Callithrix jacchus: one gene and its partners. The protein of the gene in region 1 purifies or fractionates together with the protein of each later gene. This does not show direct contact. Links are inferred from orthologs where the notes say so. Each region holds a gene or a part of one and is shown in the gene's direction. Other genes may lie near its edges. The genes, in order: COP1, TRIB3, ETV1 and MVP.

Region 1 (5,274 bases):
TTCATTTAGCTTATTTTGGAGCTTACATAAAAATGATCAGCAAGAGGGGGTGAATTTTATAAGTAATGCTAAAGGAAGGGAGATGTTTTACTATTTTTTAACCTGTTGTGGTATAAGGAGTGTGCATTGGGGTTTTATAATTCAGAGAGCTATTTGGGGAGGGAATTAGGTATGGATTTGGGAAAAAGTAGTGATAATTTAGTGGTTCGATTATATGTATGCTCTCCACTTGTCATCACCCAGTTGCTTCAGTAATTCAACTTATATACTAATATATTTTTTGAAAAATTGAATATTGCAAAATTCTACCATCTCCACAAAATGTCAGGGAAATAACTAGAATGTATGAAAAATGAGTTGATAATTATCTTTTGGCGTACTTCTGGTATATCAAATAATTCATGCCATTAAATCTTTCTCACTAAGCTGTGATATGGTTATTAGAGCTGAATGAAGAGCATGTCAGATATCTAGGAACAAAAGTACACCTGTGCACAATTGTGTAGATATACACAAGTCTCAAAGACTTTTAATTTGATATGTGTTGATGACTTAATCTGGATATGAGGCCTAGAACAACTTAAAGGCATTTAAAGTAGATCTCTTATCCTTGTAGAGAGAATTACTTTAGAACTAGAAAATAGCAAATTCTGAAATGTTGTCTTTATAAATGTCACACGGAGAAGTAAATAGTCTTATTGAGCAAGGCGTATACTTTTTCCCCTTAGTATTGAATTTGACCGGGATTGTGACTATTTTGCGATTGCTGGGGTTACAAAGAAGATTAAAGTTTATGAATATGGCACCGTCATCCAGGATGCAGTGGATATTCATTACCCTGAAAATGAAATGACCTGCAATTCCAAAATCAGGTATTTACATTATTTCTTCACATGATACAGTATATATGTAACAATTTGCATATGTAATTATCATGAGATTATTTTACCTTGCCATGACACTTTTTTTTCTTTTTTTTCCCGAGATGGAGTCTCGCTCTGTCGCCCAGGCTGGAGTGTAGTGGCGTGATCTCGGCTCACTGCAACCTCTGCCTCCCGGGTTCAAGTGATTCTCTGCCTCCACCTCCAGAGTAGCTGGGATTACTGGCGCCCACCGCTGCCTGGCTAATTTTTTTTGTATTTTTAGTAGAGACAGGGTTTCTCCATATTGGCCAGGCTGGTCTTGAACTCCTCTCCTCATGATCTACTGGCCTCGGCCTCCCCAAGTGCTGGGATACAGGCGTGAGCTACCGTGCCCTCAGCTCCATGATACTTCTTACTCATTCATGGTGAACACTATAATTGTACTGTATATTCAGAGTATATATTATTATTAAGATCATCTTTCTTGCAGATACTGCTTGCTTTTTTCTTGTGGGGTTAGCCTTTTTTTTTTTTCCTAGTTGCCAAATGAAAGCTCTTCTTTCACTTAATCAAATAAAGGTCTTTGTTGCAGGTGATTGTCGGAGACGCCGTGGAGTACTGAATAAGGATTAATGTACCTTAATATAAAAACATCAGGAATTTTTCCCCTAGCATGGACATATCTCTCAACATAACAGAATGGTTTCTAGTTTTAAGAATTTTTTATAAGAACATTCTGCTTTGCACTGAAGGAATGGTGTTTATGTTTTATGTTTTAGAGATTATACTTCATAAGCAGTGCTTTTCAGACATAAAATACTGTTAATGTTTACAGACTCTACTTGATCTTCTCTCCAAAAAATCTCAGAAGAATCTTAGAATATGCTTTTTGTTTGTTTTCTAAACAAGCTTCCCAAGCTGTTCTCATGAGCATTGGCTTTATGAGGAAATCGTCTAATAATAACTTTGTATGTAACTTTGAACATTTTCAAAATAGCCATCCTTGAACCTTTCTTAACTATTTAAATGACATACATAGTATGTTTGTTACAATCTTTGTATAATTAATTTGTTATAGTTTTTTTTTTTTTAGTTCATTTATAAAAATACTATCTTGATAATTGGTGAGCTTGCCCATTCATTAGTGGCACTCGTTGTTGAGAATCTATTACAGTTTATGTCCTAAGTGAAGAGGATATAACAAGAATTAGATACAACTTTATTGAATTCTTAGATATCAGGCATTATCCTAAGTGCGTTGTCTATAGCAGACCTATGAGAAACTTGCCATTATTGCTCCATTTTATACAAAGAAAGCTGAGCACAGAAAGGTATTTACTAACCTGTGCAAGATTATACAGCTGGTATACAGAGGATCCAGGATTCAGACTGAAGTAGTTTGTTTCTAGAGTCTGTGCTCTTAAACATTTCATGCTGCTTATTTATAAAATGGCGGCCACGACAGTAATACCTATTTAATAGGATTGTACCTTTAAAAAAATCTCCATAATGCACTCAGAATGATACTTGGCCCATAGCAAGTATTTATGTTACATAATGAAAATGTGGATTAGAACATTTAAATGTGCAACCTACCTGTTCTGTAATTATATATGTAAAAATCTGCAATACTTCCTGGTACATTGGAATAAATGGTGAAAGCACTCAATACCTAAGCATGTCTAAAATAGATTTGGAGCACATCTACTGTGAAAGTGAACTAAATTAGCCAGAGCCACAGCTAGTAAGTAACAGATCTGGAATTTGAACTCAAGTCTGCCTAAATTCAAAATGTGGCTCTTAACTGTTCCATATAGTTTCTACCAGAAATTTAAATATATTTAAAAATGCAAATGGACTCTTCCAGTCTCTGAAATTTAGCATGAATGCAACTAGTAGAAAGCAAAAGACCTTATAAAAAGCTATAAAAAGTTTTGAAAGTACTTTGTATCAACATCTTGCTTTTCATTTGTTTTCTAACCTATTTTCTTTCCCTTTCCCCATAACAATAAATTGGTATCAGTTTTCCTTTTTTTTCTTGCTTTATTCATGTCTAAGAAGTCATTTACATTAACTGCTTTATAAGTAGCTTCTTTCATAATATTCCCTCCCTTTACTGTATTCATGATGCAGATATGTATCTCAGCAGAAGTATACATTTTTATATGTTGTAGACTTGGAGCACTTGAGAATAGCCAAAACCATAAATGATAAATGTTTGGTTCTTTTAGATGCTTTTAATTGGACTAATAATTTTAGTCATAAGTTATAATTAGTCAAGTCAAGACAGTTTGGATGTAAATACAGAAACCCAATTCACTATAGTTTATTTGGCTTATATGGTTTGGCAAAACGGGATACAGAGTCTTTTTTTTTTTAATTTAAAATTTATTTACTTTTTCAATGGACAGATGGATATAGGGTCTTAAACAGTCTTATTGGGTCTGTCATTCTGTCATCGAATGCCTTGAGCCCTCTGGGCGGTATCACCTTCACTGATGGGCATGCTTTCCTCATGTATCAAAGATGGCCAGTGGTGGCTCCAGGCTCACCCATCTTACAGCTAGTGATCACAGTAAAAAGTGGTTGGGTTCATTACTTGTTCACTTCAATTTTTAAAATTTCAAAATTATTGCTATCTTTTCCCAGGTTCGTTTTGGGCAGAATAATGATTGTCAACTGATATGGACTATTTTTAAATAGTGCAAATCTTTCTGAACACATTGAAATTCTTTTTATCCCATTGTTATTTATTTTTATGTAAAGTAATTTTTAACTGTATTTCTTTCAGCTGTATCAGTTGGAGTAGTTACCATAAGAACCTGTTAGCTAGCAGTGATTATGAAGGCACTGTTATTTTATGGGATGGATTCACCGGACAGAGGTCAAAGGTCTATCAGGTAAATAAGAGTAGTAGTTACATGTTATATGGATCATATATTTATTTTGTTAAAACTTTTAGAATTTCATGTGCTTTAGAATTACAGATATGAAGTCACTATTTAGTGTTGTTGGTTTTTTTTTTTTTTTTTTTGCTAGTGTAACAGCTATGCAATACCAAATATTTTTTTTTTTCCATCTCCCTTTTTTGGTACCAAATACTTTTCCAAAGCATTTCCTAAGACTTTAGTCTTTATAGAATGCATCAACTATATTTCTAAAAGCAATAATTTTAGTAAATGTATATATATAAAAAGTTTTAAAAGTACTTTGCATCAACATCTTGCTTTTCATTTGTTTTCTAACCTATTTTCTTTCCCTCTCCCCATAACAATAAATTGGTATCAGTTTTTCTTTTTTTTTTCTTGCTTTATTCATTTTGATATCTCTATTCTGTCTGAGGCTACTGTGTCTTCCTTCTGCTTCCAGGAGCATGAGAAGAGGTGTTGGAGTGTTGACTTTAATTTGATGGATCCTAAACTCTTGGCTTCAGGTTCTGATGATGCAAAAGGTACTATTTGAATCTCTTTCTCACTACCCCCTTCTCCCTGGCCCTCCTAACCTTAATTACTTTCGTTGGCAGAAATACGAAAATTTACTGAAACTCACGCAGTCCTTTATGATAACTGATTATTATTATTGTTCTGTTTTATTTTTTGAGATGGAGTCTCTCTGTGTCATCCAGGCTAGAGTATAGTGTGATGATCACGGCTCACTGCAACGTCCGCCTTCCAGGTTCAAGCAATTCTCTGCCTCCTGAGTAGTTAGGATTACAGGTGCACACCACCACGCCTAGCTAATTTTTTATATTTTTGTTACAGACAGGGTTTCACCACATTAGCCAGGCTGGTCTCAAACTCCTGACCTCAAGTGATCTGCCCACCTCAGCCTCTCAAAGTGCTGGGATTACAGGTGTGAGCCACTTCCCCGCCTCCTCCCCAGATGGAGTTTTGCTCTGTCACCCAGGCTGGAATGCAGTGGCTCCAATCTCAGCCCACTACAACCTCCACCTCCCAGGTTCAGACGATTCTCCTGCTTCAGCCTTTCAAGTAGCTAAGATTACAGGTGTGCACCACCACACCTGGCTCATTTTTTTTTTTTTAATTTTTAGTAGAGGCAGGGTTTCATCATGTTGGCCAGGTTGGTATTGAACTCCTGATCTCCAGTGATCTATCTGCCTCAGCCTCCCAAAGTGCTGGAACTATAGGTGTCAGTCACCGTGCCCGGCCTACTGATTATTTTATTAAAAAATCCAGGCAGGGGCCGGGTGCAGTGGCTCACACTTGTAATCCCAGAACTTTGGGAGGTTGAGGTTGGTGCATCACTTGAGGCTAGAAGTTTGAGAACAGCCTGGCCAACATGGTGAAACCCCATTTCTATTAAAAATACAAAAATTAGCCAGGTGTGGTGGTGCACACCTGTGATCCTAGCTACTGGGGTAGCTGAAACATGACACTTGTTGAAACCAGGA
Region 2 (5,274 bases), on another chromosome or scaffold:
TGCTGGGATTACAGGTGTGAGCCACCACACCTGGCCTAGATGCTAAGAAAAATTTTTAAAAGATAATTCTTCTGGGGGTGGGGAGGGCAGAGGGACTCACCTCCTGAGGGCATCCAGGATGTGTCAGGGAGTGCACTAAGCTGCCAGTTACACAGAATTTTTCTGTGGAGGAAGGAGTGTGACCCCAGCACACTTTTTAAAACTTTTTATCTTGAAATAATTTTAGACTTTTAGAAAAGCTACAAAAATAGTTCCAAGATTTTCTAAAAATCCTTCCCCCAGTTTCCTCCAATGTTAACACTTGCCATAGCCATGGTACAATTACTCAAACTAAGAAATGAACCTTGGGAGAGTACTATTAACTAAGCCACAAATTTGTTCCGGCTTCCCGAGTTTCCCACGAACACCCCTTGCTGTGCAGGATCCAGTGAGGATCCCGATTTAGTTATCAGTGGTTTCCTTGGCCTCGTCTAATCTGAGACAGTTCCTCAGTCTTTCCCCGTCTTTGATAACCCATGATTTTTTTTTTTTTTTTTTGAGATAGGATCTCACTCTGTCACCAAGGCTGGAGTGCAGTGGTGTGATCATAGCTTACTGCAGCCTTGAACTCCTGGGCTCAAGTGATCCTCCCACCTCACCCTCCTGAGTAGCTGGTTTACAGGTGTGTGCCACCATGCCTGGCTAATTGAGATGGGGTCTTGCTATACTGCCCAGGCTGGCCTCGAACTCCTGAGCTCAAGCAATCTGCCCCCCCTCAGCCTCCCAAAGTGCTGGTATTATAGGTGTGAGCCACTGCTCCCACCATAACCTTGAGACTTTTGAAGAGTACTGATCAGTTACTTTGTATGTCCCTCAATTTGGATTTGATTGACGTTTTCTTAAAGTTAGATTGCAGTTTTATATATATATATATATAATCTCTTTAGAGATGGGGTTTCACCATGTTGGTCAGGCTGGTCTTGAACTCCTGACCTCAGGTGATCCACCCACTTCTGCCTCCTAAAGTGCTGAGATTACAGGCGTGAGCCACCGCGCCCAGCCGTGGTTATATATTTTTGGCAAGAACAACACAGAATTGATAGGTCCCTCTCCACATCATATCATTGAGTTGATAGTCATTACTGTGTTGTAACCTTGATCACTTGGTTAGGGTAGGACCTGCCAGGTTTCTCTCCTCTAAGGTTTTTAATTTAGCCTTTGTAATGGATAAATACCTTGGGGTAGGTAAGCTAAGCATATAAATATCCTGTTTTTCCTCAACTTTCCCCTACTAATTTTAGCAGCCATCCATCTTGCCTGTAGCAGTTATTACTGTGGTGCTTGCCTAAGACTAATTTTCTTTTCTTTTAAGACAGTCTCGCCCTGTTGCCCAGGTTGCAGTGCAGTGGCATGATCCTGACGCCCTGCAACCTCTGCCTCCTGGGTTCTTGCGATTCTCCCGACAGCCTCTTGAGTAGCTGGGATAACAGGGACACACCACCACACTTGGCTAATTTTTGTATTTTTAATAGAGATGGGGTTTTGCCATGTTGGCCAGGCTGGTCTTGAACTCCGGACATCAAGTGCTCTGCCTGTATTGGCCCAAAGTGCTGAGATTATAGGTGTGGGCCTCCGCGCCCAGCCCCAAAGGCTGATTTTCTATTAATATTTCCTTTTACATTTTATAGTAAAAGAAGCATGCCTTTTTTAAAGAAGTAGAATTTATAATGACTTTTAAGCTAGTGCATAACTTCAAACATATTTTAAGCTCAGAGTAGATACAACTACCCCAGACCTTCTGGAAGAGAGAATGTGCTTCCTGCTCTTTTTAAGAAATCATCTGATGGCTCATACCTGTAATCCCAGTGCTTTGGGAGGCCTAAGCAGGAGGATTGCTTAAACACCACAGTTCGAGGCCAGCCTAGGCAACATAGTGAAACCCCATCTGCACAAAAATTTAGAAAAATTAGGCAGGTGTGGTGGTGCACACCTGTGATCCCAGCTACTTGGGAGGCTGAGCGCAGACGTTTGAGGTTGCAGTGAGCTAGGATTGCATCACTGCACTCCAGCCCAGGTGACAGAGTGAGACCCTGTCTCTAAAGAAGAAAAGTCACATGAGAGGCACTGGTAGAAGAGAGACCGTGAGTTAGATAGACCTGTGTTTAAATCCTGGGTTCTGCTTCTGACCGGCTTTTTGGCCCCGAGAAATGACTTCACTTGCCTGAGCCTTTGTATCTTCATCTGTAAAATGGGCCAATAATGCTGACACTCCTCGTCCCTCAATACTGTGATTCATAGGATTGGTCGGTATTTGTGAAATGCCAATGGACACCCAGGAAGTGGTGCCATAAAGAAGAAATGAATAGCAGTGGTAACAGAATGATTGCTATGAAAGTCATCTTAGAGTGCTCTGTTTAAACTAGAAATTGCAAATGGCAGGATACACTTTTTTTTTTTTTTTGAGATGGGTTCTCACTCTGTCCCCCAGGCTAGAGTGCAGTGGAGCTATCACAGCTCACTGCAACCTCTGCCTCCTGGGCTCAAATGATATCCTCCTGCCTCAGCCTCCCAAGTAGCTGGGACCACAGGCGTGAGTCACCACACCTGGCTAAGTTTTGTATTTTTTGTAGAGATGGTTTCACCATGTTGCCCAGGCTGGTCGTGAACTCCTGAACTCAAGTGATCCACCTGCCTCGGCCTCCCAAAGTGCTAGGATCATAGGTGTGAGTTACCGCGCCCAGCCTTACACACACTTTTCTTTTTGCCCTGCTCCTGTTCGTGTTTTTTATTGAAACTCATTGCCAATATTTTTTAAATGGGGACTTTTTCATTAAAATAGGATTCCTGACTCTCTTGGGGAAAAGAATGGGAACATGGGGCCACCTTGAAAACTACGAGAGTGGGTCACAGCACTGGCTCTGGGTATCTGCGAGCCAGGGTTCCCATCCCAGGCTGATGCTCTAGAGCTGTAAAACGGTGTCCTTGCACGTTGTAGCCTGGATAGAATGAGATAAGCCAGGTAATAAGCTGGGCCAAGGGCGAAGAACACAGCGGACACTTGATAAACCCTAGAATGTGTCGTTGGTGGTGCCCTTTTTAGGCAGGGCTTGCGCTGAAATGTCTGGCACTCTTCCCTAAGTTTGGACCCTAAGTTTGCATCTGGTTTAAGAGAGGCTTAACTCTCTAAGCCCCATCAGTCCCCTTCCCAAGGGACTGTTGAGAAATTTATTCCGTTCAGAATGTTAGTTTAAATTTAATTGCTCTGTGGCCTTAACTGACTTAACCTCTCTGAGCCTGGGCTTAGTTTTCTGGAAAACAGGATCAGACATCAAAAGACTGACTTGTGTCTGTCAAAGACCAGCAGGCACTTGAAAGTGGGTGCCACTAAGGTGACAGTATGGGGTAGTGGCATGGGGGCTCTGGGTGGGACTTGACCCTTATGTTTCTCCCCATGTCCCAGGAAGAAGCTGGTGCTGGAGAACCTGGAGGACACCTGTGTGCTGACCGGGCCAGATGATTCCCTGTGGGATAAGAACGCATGCCCAGCCTATGTGGGACCTGAAATACTCAGCTCACAGGCATCATACTCAGGCAAGGCAGCGGATGTCTGGAGCCTGGGCGTGGCACTCTTCACCATGCTGGCCGGCCACTACCCTTTCCAGGACTCAGAGCCTGTCCTGCTCTTTGGCAAGATCCGCCGCGGGGCCTATGCCTTGCCTGCAGGCCTCTCAGCCCCTGCCCGCTGTCTGGTTCGCTGCCTCCTTCGTCGGGAGCCAGCTGAGCGGCTTACAGCCACAAGCATCCTCCTGCACCCCTGGCTGCGGGAGGACCCGATGCCCTCAGCCCCAACCCGATCCCATCTCTGGGAGGCTGATCAGGTGGTCCCTGATGGACCGAGGCTGGATGAAGCCAAGGAAGAAGAGGAAGACAGCGAACTGGTTCTGTATGGCTAGGGCCACCCCACTACACGCTCAGCTGCCAACAGTGGATTGAGTTTGGGGTGGCTCCAAGCTTTCTCCTGCCTCTGAGCTGAGCCAAACCTTCAGTGCCTTTAGAAGGGAGAAAGGCAGAAGCCTGCATGGAGTGTGCTGTGTACACACCTGCTTTGTTCCACACACATGCAATTCCTGCTTGGGTGCTTATCAAGCGCCAAGCCCTGTTCTAGGTGCTGGGAACACAGCAGTGAGCAAAGGAACAATACTCCCTGCTCATAGAGATGACAAACTGGCATTCCTGAGCTGACAACACTTTTCTATGGCCATCGGTCACTGTCTACACTGGGTACACTTTGTGCCAGTGTCAGCCTCCACTGGTACTGGTGTTCAGGCACCTCTGTCCAAGGACAATCCGTTTCACAAACAAACCAGCTGCCTTTTTATCTTGTACCTTTTCAGAGAAAGGGAGGTATCCCTGTGCCAAAGGCTCCAGGCCACTCCCCTGAAACTCAGGACCCAAGCCCAGCTCACTCTGGGACCTGTGTTCCCAGCATCTCTGTCCTCTTGATCAAGAGATTCTCTTTCCAGGCCCAAGCCCGGGATTTGGGCCAGAGATAAGAATCCAAACTATGAGGCTAGTACTTGTCTAACTCAAGAATGTTCTGGAATGAGGGTCCAGGCCCGTCAACCATGGCACTTCTGACCTAAGCACCAAGATTGAGGGACAGGATTAGGCAGGGTCTGTCCTGTGGCCACCTGGAAAGTCCCAGGTGGGACTGTTCTGGGAACAGTTGGGGTCCACGATCCCAGGTCGATACTCTAGGTTTTGGATGCCATGAGTATGTATTTTCACCTGTGCCTAATAAAGAATTATGAAATACTTCTATTTACCTAGGCGATTTCTTCCATCCTTTGCAACCATCTTTTATCCATTTTCCTTGCCTTCAAAACTGGCCCCCATGGTGAAAAGCCATGGAGTTGTGTCTCAGTCTCAGCTGAGTGGTTTGTAAGAACAGATTACCTGGAGCCCAGCGGGTTTTCCTGCACTCCCTCTGTCTCTTCTGGCAGCAGCGGTGTCTCTATTAGGGTACTTTCTGAGTCAAAATGGCTTCAACAAGACAGAAATACGTTTCACACAAAGCAAGAAGTCAGTGGATAGGGTGGGCTTCAGTGCTGGTCCATTCAACTCCAGGCTGTGAGCAAGACCCCTGCTCTCCAGGCTCCTTCTGTCTCTTGACTGTATTGTCCCTCGAGACTGCTGGCCCAATGGCTACAGCAGGTGTCACATTAGAGAGGTCCGTGACCAGAGGAAGAAGGCAGGGGCATTGTACTACCTGAGAACTCGGAACTCTGGAGTCAG
Region 3 (5,274 bases), on another chromosome or scaffold:
TGAATTAGTATTACTTAAAAAGGAGCAAGGCAAGAAACACAGCATAGGTCTAGGGAGAATACTGTGTTGGGTAATTATTGACTTCTAGAGATTAAGAAATTCATATTTAAATAAAATATTAAATAAAACGTTTAGACGTTCTGAGAAGCTTAAAATACAGCTTAAAATCCAGGTTGCTTATATACAGCATTTTTCCTTCTTCTTTTTTTTTTTTCTTTTTTGAGACAGAGTCTCACTTTGGCGCCAGGCGCCAGGCTGGAGTGCAGTGGCACAGTCTTGGCCCACTGCAACCTCCGTCTCCTGGGTTCAAGCAATTCTCCTGCTTCAGCCTCCCGAGTAGCTGGGACTACAGGCACACGCCACCACACCCAGCTAATTTTTGTATTTTTAGTAGAGACAGGCTTTCACCATGTTGGCCAGGATGGTCTTGATCTCTTGACCTAGTTATCCGCCCGCCTCAGCCACCCAAAGTGCTGGGATTACAGGGTTGCGCCACTGCGCCCAGCCAGCATCTCTCCTTCTTTATCTCTTCTGCTTGGGCTTCTCTGTGCAGTGGTGTGCTGGTAAATGTTTAATGGGCTGCATGGGAGAAAAACAAAACACCCCATCTGTAGCTTTTGCTGGGTATGTGATGTACATATCGCTTTCATGACCTACTATGAGCCATCACTGTGACAAACCTGAATGCCTAGTTGGAAAGAGCAATAGCACAGCATAGTATAGTATTTCTATCATAAGGATACGGGAGACATAAGTAACCTCAGGTGCATAATTGGTAAAGAAATGTAAAATAATTAGGAAGTGATGAGTTTTGCATTTTTATCTTTTGTTTTTAACATATATTTTGATGGTGCAGTTATGTAATTTGACTCTTAATAGTGACACTGTTTAAGAAATGGCTCAAAAATTTCCTGTAATTTAACAATAGGTCAATGCAAACTGTCTCTGAGACACCACTGTAAAAATAACTCAGCCAAAGAAATCTTCTAGATCAGCAGAGGAAAGCAGAAGATGTGCCACTGGCAACCTTCTAAATATAAGGGAGCACTCAAATCTGCTTTTTATAGTTTTTTTCATGGGACTCAATCTCTAATTCAGGAACTCATTTTGCAATAAAGGGCATAAGATGAAAGCATTCTTTACAATGTGACACAAAGCCTTATCTTTTCCACCCTTGTTTTCATCACTAAATCCTCTTGTGGGGTGGTTATTAAATGCTTCCTATTATCTTTTTCTTCTCACCCCATAGCCTTGAGTCTTTGTCAGAGGGCAATGGTATGTGCATCTGTGTAAACAGTTTTGTAAATACAGATGAAAGAATTCTTATTGCAGGGTGGGCCATTAAACAGATGCACATTGTGCAGAGCTAAAAGGGAAGGAAAGTATGAACAAACAAAGTTTTATTTTCTCCACTACTGGCGACTTCTTGGAGTTCTTGATAATTGAAGCTCCCTCTTCTGATCAGTGCCAGAATTATAGATTGTATAATTCGCTTTTGGTGCAAACTAGTTATTTCTTGGTGAAGGTGACTGCTGAATAAGCAATGTGCCTGGTTTTAGGTGACCTAACTTGAAATGCTTTTTAGCCAAATCCATTTTAGTTTCTCTACTTGAAGTCAAATATTTGAGACTGAGAACAGCCGGCCCGGAACTCCAAGAGGGAAGCTCAGGGTCTTTTCCCACTGACCCCTGACTGAGTTTTGAGGACAGTACCAGCTGGCCAGTCCCAGGAAAATCTCTAAAGCCGTATGTTTCTGAGGAGGATTTCTTAGAGGGCTCTGGCCAATAAATGACAGTCCCTCAGTTATAAATGGCAAATTTGCTCTGGGAACAGATCCTTTCCCCAGAACACCCCCTCCAGCCAGGCACCCCACTTCACTCTGGGAACGCTTGACAGCCAACTGGCCTGCACCCTGCTTCCTTTCCTCAGCCTCGCTCTGCTCCTCGGGCCAGCCCTTTGGCACCTTTTCCTTAACCCACTGTGCAGGAGTCCTGTCTCTCTTTCTCAGAGTTTCCACCACTTAAGCCCCATTTTTTCTTTATCGACGAGTTCATCAGCATGTTCTCCTTATCTGTTAACTCCTTTGCAGAAGCTTCTTGAATCACATTCTCTTCACCATTGGTCAGTGACTCCTAAGAATTGCACCAAAACCTTGCAAGTTTTCGGGAAGCATGGGTGTTTGATACATATATGTTCCCCAGCAACTTCCAACTGGGATCAGGTCGACTGGTAAAAACGAACGGCTTGATTCCTTACAAAGCTTTCAGTTACAAGTATTATTAACTTCCTTTTAAGGCTTTACAAGTGAGCCAGTTTCTTATTTTAACTTCAAGTTACAATTTTCTGATTCACTCCTTGACAGTCCTTAATGATAATTTCTGTTTCTTTTTTTGGCTAATGAAATAAGCAAGAGAAGGGAAATGAATGCAGTGCCATTCAGCCTAACTGCTTTGCAATATCCGAGTTTCTAAGTTTATTTTCTGCAGGTGTAGGTGGAATTTCAGTGCTTTCCCTCACCACCAGTGAGCCTAGAGTTAAATCACAGGATGGAGTGTTCTTAGAAATGCTAAAGCAATCGCTGTGCCATTCTTTAGCTTTTACCTTATTTTCATTTAACATTACCGAAATTAAATGCTAACTTTCCAAATTAAAGTCTCAGGAATGCTTTTAGTTGGGGGGGTGGTTAATAGGCTTATATTTGCTCATAGAAATGTTTTATAGGTTATTTTTAAGCACTCTTGGGGCATTTTTAGAGCACTTTTAAATCTTTAATTAATCCACATCTTTGTGGTGGGTCAATGATATTATGGATGAGAGACACAGAACAGAATGATTATGTGATTAGCCAATCATTACAAAGTAGAACCAAGAACAAAGAAGGTATAGGACGTAATCCTAGCTGTCTGCCAAGGCCTCAGAACTTCCTCATGTCCTAACAGTGGGACTTGCCCCAAATCTATACAACACTATCTGTTATTTTCACCTTTGGAGATCAGTTGTATATTTTTGCTTGTTTTTATCAACCTGATACTGTATTTGAATCTATAGGAAGCCAATATGGTCTGCATTGCTGTTTGACAGTAAAGAGGTAATTTTTTTAAAACCAGCTTGGTTTTGAGTCCTTATAATACTCAGTTTGTTTCTTACAATGTTAATTAGGACATTGTTGAGGAATTAAAAGTCCTGCTGATTTGAGAAAAGAGTCATTCTTCTCTTGCTTCCTCAGCAATGGATGGCAATGGAAGGAAAACCAATAAATTGATTTTTGTTTTTTTTTTTTTTTGCTTATTGATTAGTTTGGTAACAGATTTAAAAGATAGAAGATGCAGTTTGAGATCAGACTGTTTCCCCCCGCCTTTTTTTTCCTTGTAGATAATCACTTAAGGCCCTTTTTGTGTGGAAATCATAAGTGATCCAATTGATTTAGATCTGGACATTTTAGCCATTAAGGGATGTGTGTGTGTGATCCTCAGAGTTGCTCATTGCTCTCCAATCTGTACTCAAAGTCCATCTTTAATTCATATAGTGCAACAGTGCCGCAAGAGACTGATTAGAAGGGGAATACAAGTCATATGATTAAAAAGCATAGAGCCTCTAATCTAGGAAAGAAAAATGTAATGTTTGTTAAAGATTTCCACTTCAGGTCGGCTGGTATCATGTTCATTCACTAAGACATGAAAAACCGTATTAGTATTTTAAAGAATGTTCCATGTTACCATTTCATCTGAAACACACTCTTTTACTCCCTAGATTTCGCCGCCAGCTTTCTGAACCCTGTAATTCCTTTCCTCCTTTGCCGACAATGCCCAGGGAAGGACGTCCTATGTACCAACGCCAGATGTCTGAGCCAAACATCCCTTTCCCACCACAAGGCTTTAAGCAGGAGTACCACGACCCAGTGTATGAACACAGCACCATGGTTGGCAGTGCGGCCAGCCAAAGCTTTCCCCCTCCTCTGATGATTAAACAGGAACCCAGAGATTTTGCATATGACTCAGGTAGGCCTGTGCTCTGCTCAAATTACATTCAAGGCACCTTTTCACCTCCCTTGTCACATTGGTTAGTGTTGATAGCAGACTGGGTAGCTCTTGACCATTTTTTTAATGAGATCTTTCAGATTTTGTCCCTTCACTGAAACGTCATCTACGTGTAAAGAATTGGATTTCAAGTCATTTTGACATGACGTGAGGTTGAGATAGTGTCTGAAAACAAAAGCAGTTTAAAGAAAAGTACACTTTACAGAATTATGCACACTCTCAGCTCGAGAGGGATACTGCAGTTTTTTTTCTTAATTCAGTGCTTTTTTTAAATTTTTCTATTTTGCTACTGCAGTGCTACTTAATAGCAATGTTTACCAAAAGTAATATTCTTCTGACATGGGTCATATATTGCTTATAACATTAAAAAAATTATTGGTGGCAAAGACTCTGTTTGTAAGTAAGAATTCTTATATATTGATGGGAACAACACAGATTATTCATAGAGCTTAGCTTTGTCTCTGTGAGCTAGAAAGTAGTACAGAGCAGCATATCGAGGGGGAGAGAGGGGTTTCCTGAAAGGAGAGAGGGTTTGAAATCTTTTCCAAATAATATCGCCAACTTTGCCAGTATTTGAACCTTGAGATTTTAGAAGAATTACTTAACTCTGTTGAGTTTTTCCTTCTATAGTCTGCCAAATCAGGACATCTGTTTTTAACACATCTCAGGTATTTTGAAAAAATCTATGAAATAAAAGCTAATGTTTATAAGGTTACCATGTACCTTATAATCACTGAGGCAGGCAGTGATTCTCCTGCCTAAGCCTCCTGAGGCAGTAGAATATTATTAGCGTTATTGTATCAGTGGTCAATAGTTGGTTGTGGATATGGAAATATTTGAGAACAATATCATTTCCTTTTGTCTGGATATAAAGTTTGGGCATTCTTTGTGAAGGAACTGTTGCTTCCTCTGTGAGTTCTATCAGTCTACTGGAGTAAAAACTATCTCCACATCTGGAGTTATCAATTTGCATATAAGATTACCTGCTTCATAATGAACTTCCCTTAAGGCTCTGCAAAAGAGAGCCTATGACTTAGAAGTCTCCCTCTGGTCATCCTTTGTGTACCCTTCTGCACTGGCCAGTAGGTTCAAAGGACTAAGGAAATTGGCCACCTTGAGGCATGCTTCAACTTCTAAAAAGTGTGCCAGCTCCCCAAGATCTATGAATTCTTTGCCCACTGGCCTTCCAGGACCTGAGCGAATTCATCCCAGGCCCTGTTTTCTGAAGGCAGAGCAC
Region 4 (5,915 bases), on another chromosome or scaffold:
GTTTCACCATGTTGGCCAGGCTGGTCTCTTAACTCCTGACCTCGTGATCCACCCACCTCCGCCTCCCAAAGTGCTATGATTACAGGCATGAGCCACTGTGCCCAGCCCCTTGTCTTCCTTTAAGAGACGGTTATAATACAAAAAATTAGTTGGTTGTGGTAGCCAGCGCCTGTAATCCCAGTTACTGGAGAGGCAGAATTGCTTGAGCCTTGGAGATGGAGGTTGCGGTGACCTGAGATCACGCTGCCACACTCTAGCCTGGGCCATGGAGTGAGACTCTTTAAAGAAAAAAAAAAATTACAGATAATTCCTTAAAACACACACACACACACACGTCATTGATTCTGGAAAATTACAAATAATTCTATTATGTTTCCCATTCCCAGAAGTCCAGGTCCTGGCCTTTCAGTATTGTGTAGCTTGCATCCCTCTACTACCATGTACATCTTTAATCACACCAGTGACCCCATTTCCCACCCCACATGCCTTTCTAGAATTTACCCTCAGAGTCATGTCTTTTTTGGAGAGACAAGGTCTTGCTATGTTGCCCAGACTGGTTGGTCTCAAACTCTTGGGCTCAAGTGATCCACTGCCTTGGCCTCCCAAAATGCTGAGATTCCAGGCATGAGTCACCGCACCCAGCCTAGAGACATTTTTTATTTTTCTCTCTTACCTGCACTTTCACACCAACAGCAAGTCTTGCTAACTCCAAGATGTACATTCCAAGTACCTCTGCTACTCTCCACTTTCAACACTATACCCCCATCCAAGCCACCATCTTTGCCTGGATAGTTGCAGTAGCTCCTAACTGGGCTCTCTGCTTCCAGTTTCTGCAACTCAGATGATCCTTTTAAAATATAAATCGTGTCACTTTTTTTTTTTTTTTTTGAGTCGAAGTCTCTCACCCAGATTGGAGTGTAGTGGCATGATCTCTGCCCACTGCAACTTGCGCCTCCTGGGTTCAAATGATTCTCCTGCATCAGCCTGCTGAGTAGCTGGGATTACAGGCACATGCCACCATGCCTAGCTAATTTTTGTGATTTTTAGTAGAGATGGGTTCTTGCCATGTTGGCCAGGCTGGTCCTAAACTCCTGACCTCAAGTGATCTGCCTGCGTCAGCCTCCCAAAGTGCTGAAATTACAGGCGTGAGCCCCTGCACCTGACCATAAGTCATGTCGCTTTTCTACTTAAAATTTTCCAAGGGATTCCATCTTGCCAGGGAAGAGCGAGAGTGCCAGCTCTCTGCACTCTTCTCTGAACAGAACTCTGTTCTTGTCCTGGGCCTTTACCCTTGCCGTCCCCCTCCCGCATATGGTCCTCCCTGCTCTTCACATTGCTCATGCCATCCTGTCATTCAAGACCTTCACCACTCACTCTTTCTGAGGCCCAACCCTGAACCTCAGGTCCTCCCAGACAGAGGCCTGGGGACCTGAATGTTTAACTAGCTCCCCAAGTAATGAGTGAGGTTCAGGCAGGTCTGGTGCACACCGCCTCCATCCTTTCCATGTATCTTACCTTCCCCTTCTCCAGGAAGCTCAGCCCGGAGCCAGAAACGGGAGGCCCGCCTGGACAAGGTGCTCTCGGACATGAAGCGACACAAGAAGCTGGAGGAGCAGATCCTTCGTACTGGAAGGGACCTCTTCAGCCTGGACTCGGAGGACCCCAGCCCCACCAGCCCCCCACTCCGATCCTCAGGGAGCAGTCTCTTCCCTCGGCAACGGAAATACTGACTCCTGCTGCTCCTGCCTCTAGGGTGCAGCATCTGTACCTGCTGGGACCTGGGCCCTCCTTCCCCAGCCCAGACACTGAGAAACTTGGGAAGAAGAGAGAAACCCCAAGCTCCCAAACAGCACGTTGCAGGAAAGAGGAAGAGAGAGGAGAGAGAGAGAGAGAGAGAGAGAGAGTGTGTGTGTGTGTGTGTGTGTGTGTGTGCGTGTGCATGTTTTCTATTGAACACCTATTTGGAGACTGGGACTGAATTTTCTGAGTCTGAAATAAAAGATGCAGAGCTATCATCTCTTAAGAGGAGTGGCTGTAGCTGGAGCCTCAACAGTTTGGTCCCTCTTGAAGGGAGAGGCAGAATTGTATTCACCCAGATTGGAAAATGAAAGCCAGATGGGCAGAGGCGCCCTCAGTCAGCACCTGCCCTGTCTCGCATTCTCCAGCCACACCCCAGTGCTGCCAGCTGGCTCCAAGGCAGAAACTGATGAGCGGGCAGGGAGCAGTGTGCCTTCAGCTGCAGCAGAGACAGCCCAGAGGACAAAATGAGAACCAGCTGCAGGGGCCCTTTAACTCTCAAGCCCCACCCCTGGGCCAGGCCTGGCTTGGCCTGCCGGGAAGTGATTCATCCCCAGGGCTGGGTGAGAGTTTTCCATCTCAGGCGTGTGTTGCAGCTAGCCGCACTTCTAGATGTGAGTACGTGGTACTGGCCGCCCAAACCTCAAATCCGGCAGATCTTTGTATCCCTTGAGGCTGTCTTTAACCCTGTCCTGTTTTCAAGGGCCTTGCTTCTGCTGGAGGGCAGGGAAAACCTGAATCAGAGTTGGGAAGGAGGATGGGCGGTGGCTTTGCTTTGGGAGATTTCACTTTCCAATAATTGAAGTTTTCTGGGTTTTGAAGTAAAGGTAGATTAACTCACCAACACTGTTCCCCACTGCCCTGCAACTCTCGGGCCTCTGACTTCAGGGTTCCACATGGGACATCAGGTGGGCAACCTCAGTGTTCATTCAGACCCCATCTCAGAGCTACATCGGTGCTCGCTCTACTTACCTGCACTGTCCTGGGGACCTGGGCTCTGGCCTTTCACCTTGAGCCCCAAGAATGTGACCTGTCCACATTCAGGCCCCTTAACTCTGACAGAGGAGGCTTTCCTACTGCCCCAGCCGGATGTTGACCTCAGCCGATCATTCCGGAAGTCATTAGAGTGATTTCTAGAAGGCATAGAATTTGGTAACCAAGGTTCTTTCCCTTTTTGGGAGGATGTTTAGCTGTACCCACCAGGCTGAGATTCTGGGGATCTTAGAGCAGTCCCTTGGGTGGGGGTGATAGTGAGGCTGATGGCCCCTGTGTCCTCTGCTCCTTGCCTAGGTGACCCCTGGGTGATGGGGGAAAAGGCTGGCTGTCATGTGGGGTATGAGGTGGCTCTCCCAGAAACTCCCTTGGCACACACAGCACTGGGTTGGCCCTGGGGTGTGGCTGTTTGGACAGGATAGCCCACTATAGCCTTGAGCAGGTAGGGAGGCCACCTTGAGAGGGTGGCCCAGAGACAGCCTGAGAGCTCCATGGTAACAGGGTGCTCAGGTTACCTTGGGTGTTGCCCTCCCAGGTTCTAGGGGAACAGAGGCTGGGCACTGGCCCGGGTTACAGAAAACACCTTTGAACTGCCATTGGCGCCATCTGGGAAAGTACCCAGCCCCACCCAGTTCCTCTAGTCCTTGTTCTTGGTTTAGAATCTTCCTGTTTCTGCCTGAAAAGCCACTGCCTCCTGGTTTGTGGTCTCTGCAGTCATGATGCCCAGAGCACACTTTGAGCTTCATCCTTTGATAACTGCGTGCTCTTGGGCAAGTTTCTTAACTTTCAGGCTCTTGTGAGGATAGCATGAGTTAATTGAGGCCTGACAGATTAAGCTCATGGTAAGTGGGAGCTATTACTTGGGGGCGTTTGCCTAGAACACAGGGTCCAGAGGCTGTCTCCAGGAAACCTAGACCCAGTGGGTCAAAAGTGAGGCCTGCAAAAAGCAGCAGGAGTGGGGTTAAGAATTCCAGCCCAGGGCTGGGCATGGTGACTCAGGCCTGAAATCCCAGCACTTTGGGAGGCCCAGGTGGGAGGATGGCTTGAGGCCAGGAGTTGCAGACCAGCCTGAGCAACATGAGGAGACCTCCGTCTCTTGTTTGTGTGTGTCGGCGGGGGGGTTGTTCTTTAAAAAAAAAAAAATGATAATAATTCCAGCTCAGTCCCACGATTAGACAACTTTAGAAAATATTGCTGTAGATGAGGGGTTCTGAAGCTTGGTTCGTGGGTCGTATCATATCCAGTTGGTTCTTGCCTCTGGTGACTGGTGTTAATTGGCAGGAATGGGGGGAGGGAGAACAAGTGGAGGTCTGGGCTGGCCTAGCTGTTCTGTCTCCCCCTTACCTCCTGAAGGTCACCAGGCTGTTCCCCCTCCCACAAAGTGGCCCAGTTGGGCTGGAGCTCAGATCCGATTTCCTTGGGAAGAGAAGTTCCTAAAACTGTGGCTTTTTAAAAAAGCAATTTATGTGAGACAGATTCGCAATTTCCATTAATGATCTCCTAAAGCGGGTAAACCAGGAAGCTGCTGGGTGAAAATAGGCTGTTGGTAATTCCTGAGTCATGTGACTCATTCTCTAAATAGACTAGAATATTTAACTTAAATCAGCGAGGAGAAACTCCATGAAGTTGTGTTCCTGTTTATACCAAACTTTACGTGCCTTTTCCTAAACCTGAAGCTGTGGGAGGTCTGGGGACAAGGCTGGGTCACCGACCTCACCTCCAACCTCTGGACTGCGCGGACCAAGAGCCCTGGGGTTGGGGATAGAGGAGGCTGCTTAGACCTGGGTAAGTGAATGGGCTGGAAGAAAATAAGTACAGTTCCCTGCCCTTGAGCAGCCTGCAATCTGAGCTGTGTGTTTTTGTTTTTGAGACAAGAATCTCAGTCTGTCGCCCAGGCTGGAGTGCAGTGGGGCAATCTCAGCTCACTGCGACCTCTGCCTCCTGGGTTCAAGCAATTCTCTTGCCTCAGCCTCCTGAGTAGCTGGGTCTATAGGTGCCCACTACCACACCTAGCCAATGTTTTGTATTTTTAGTAGGGACAAGGTTTTACCACGTTGGCCAGGCTGGTCTCGAACTCCTGACCTCAGGCAGTCTGCCCACCTTGGCCTCCAAATGTGTTGGGATTACAGCCACCGTGCCCAGCCTGGAACAGATCTTTATCCTCCTTCCAGGTCCTACTGTGCATCAGAGACCCTCTATCCTCTAATACCTCTGATTTCAGGAAGCAGTCATTTTTTTTTTCTTTTCTTTTTTTTTTTTTTTTGAGATGGTCTCAAAAAAAAAAGTGCATTGAGAGTGCATGCACTCTGTTGTCCAGGTTAGAGTGCACTTGTGGGTACCATTTACGGTTCACTGCAGCCTTGACCTTCCTCCTCCCACCTCAGCCTCCAAAGCAGCAGGGACCACAGGTGTGTGCCACCATACCTAGCTAGTTTTTTTTTTTTTTTTTTTTGAGGTGGAGTTTTGCTCGTTACCCAGGCTGGAGTGCAATGGTGCGATCTCGGCTAACCGCAACCTCTGCCTCCTGGGTTCAGGCAATTCTGCCTCAGCCTCCTGAGTAGCTGGGATTACAGGCACGCACCACTATGCCCAGCTAATTTTTTGTATTTTTGGTAGAGACGGGGTTTCACCATGTTGACCAGGATGGTCTCGATCTCTTGACCTAGTGATCCACCCGCCTCGGCCTCCCAAAGTGCTAGGATTACAGGCGTGAGCCACCGAGTCCGGCTACCTAGATAGTATTTTTTTATGATTTTGGTAGCGACGGGGTCTTCCTGTGTTGCCCAGGCTGGTCTTGAACTCCTAGTGTCAAGCGGTCTTCCCACCTTGGCCTCCCGAAGTGCTGGGATTACAGGCGTGAGTCACCAGGCCTGGTCAACAGTCGCTTTTATTACTCACTTCACTGGAGAGGAAAGCTCAGAGGCTAGCAAGTGGCCCGGGAGCATGCTCCCAGTGCTAAAAACTGCTGGAGTGACATTCTTCCACTGGCTCTCAATCCTGGCTATATGTTAAGAGTCAGAGGGGAGAACTTTTAAAAATTGCAGTGCTTGAACCTCACCCAGTCCAATTAAACAGAATCACCAGAGATGGATGGCTTTAAAAAAGATCTCCAGAAAGCTGGGCAC

Evidence for each region.
Region 2: the proteins of COP1 (region 1) and TRIB3 purify together in Homo sapiens (affinity purification with mass spectrometry; 5 studies listed by BioGRID and IntAct, counting the BioPlex papers as one, with this or other methods). This does not show direct contact. The link is inferred for Callithrix jacchus from reciprocal best matches to the Homo sapiens genes COP1 and TRIB3.
Region 3: the proteins of COP1 (region 1) and ETV1 purify together in Homo sapiens (affinity purification with mass spectrometry; 4 studies listed by BioGRID and IntAct, counting the BioPlex papers as one, with this or other methods). This does not show direct contact. The link is inferred for Callithrix jacchus from reciprocal best matches to the Homo sapiens genes COP1 and ETV1.
Region 4: the proteins of COP1 (region 1) and MVP purify together in Homo sapiens (affinity purification with mass spectrometry; 3 studies listed by BioGRID and IntAct, with this or other methods). This does not show direct contact. The link is inferred for Callithrix jacchus from reciprocal best matches to the Homo sapiens genes COP1 and MVP.

What each region holds. Positions count from the first base shown.
Region 1 is NC_133519.1:27,120,711-27,125,984, forward strand, and holds part of COP1 (E3 ubiquitin-protein ligase COP1), read left to right. Parts: intron 1-728; coding exon 729-872; intron 873-3,654; coding exon 3,655-3,763; intron 3,764-4,232; coding exon 4,233-4,314; intron 4,315-5,274. UniProt on the Homo sapiens protein: E3 ubiquitin-protein ligase that mediates ubiquitination and subsequent proteasomal degradation of target proteins.
Region 2 is NC_133506.1:8,144,085-8,149,358, forward strand, and holds the end of TRIB3 (tribbles homolog 3), read left to right. Parts: intron 1-3,439; coding exon 3,440-3,932; 3' UTR 3,933-4,792; downstream 4,793-5,274. UniProt on the Homo sapiens protein: Inactive protein kinase which acts as a regulator of the integrated stress response (ISR), a process for adaptation to various stress. Inhibits the transcriptional activity of DDIT3/CHOP and is involved in DDIT3/CHOP-dependent cell death during ER stress.
Region 3 is NC_133512.1:44,531,684-44,536,957, forward strand, and holds part of ETV1 (ETS translocation variant 1), read left to right. Parts: intron 1-3,750; coding exon 3,751-3,998; intron 3,999-5,274. UniProt on the Homo sapiens protein: Transcriptional activator that binds to DNA sequences containing the consensus pentanucleotide 5'-CGGA[AT]-3'. Required for olfactory dopaminergic neuron differentiation; may directly activate expression of tyrosine hydroxylase (TH).
Region 4 is NC_133513.1:29,687,483-29,693,397, reverse strand, and holds the start of MVP (major vault protein), read left to right. Parts: upstream 1-2,352; 5' UTR 2,353-2,411; intron 2,412-3,458; exon of another isoform or gene 3,459-3,632; intron 3,633-4,394; exon of another isoform or gene 4,395-4,575; intron 4,576-5,915. Other genes in the region: PAGR1 (PAXIP1-associated glutamate-rich protein 1), read left to right, coding at 1,531-1,730. UniProt on the Homo sapiens protein: Required for normal vault structure. Vaults are multi-subunit structures that may act as scaffolds for proteins involved in signal transduction. Vaults may also play a role in nucleo-cytoplasmic transport.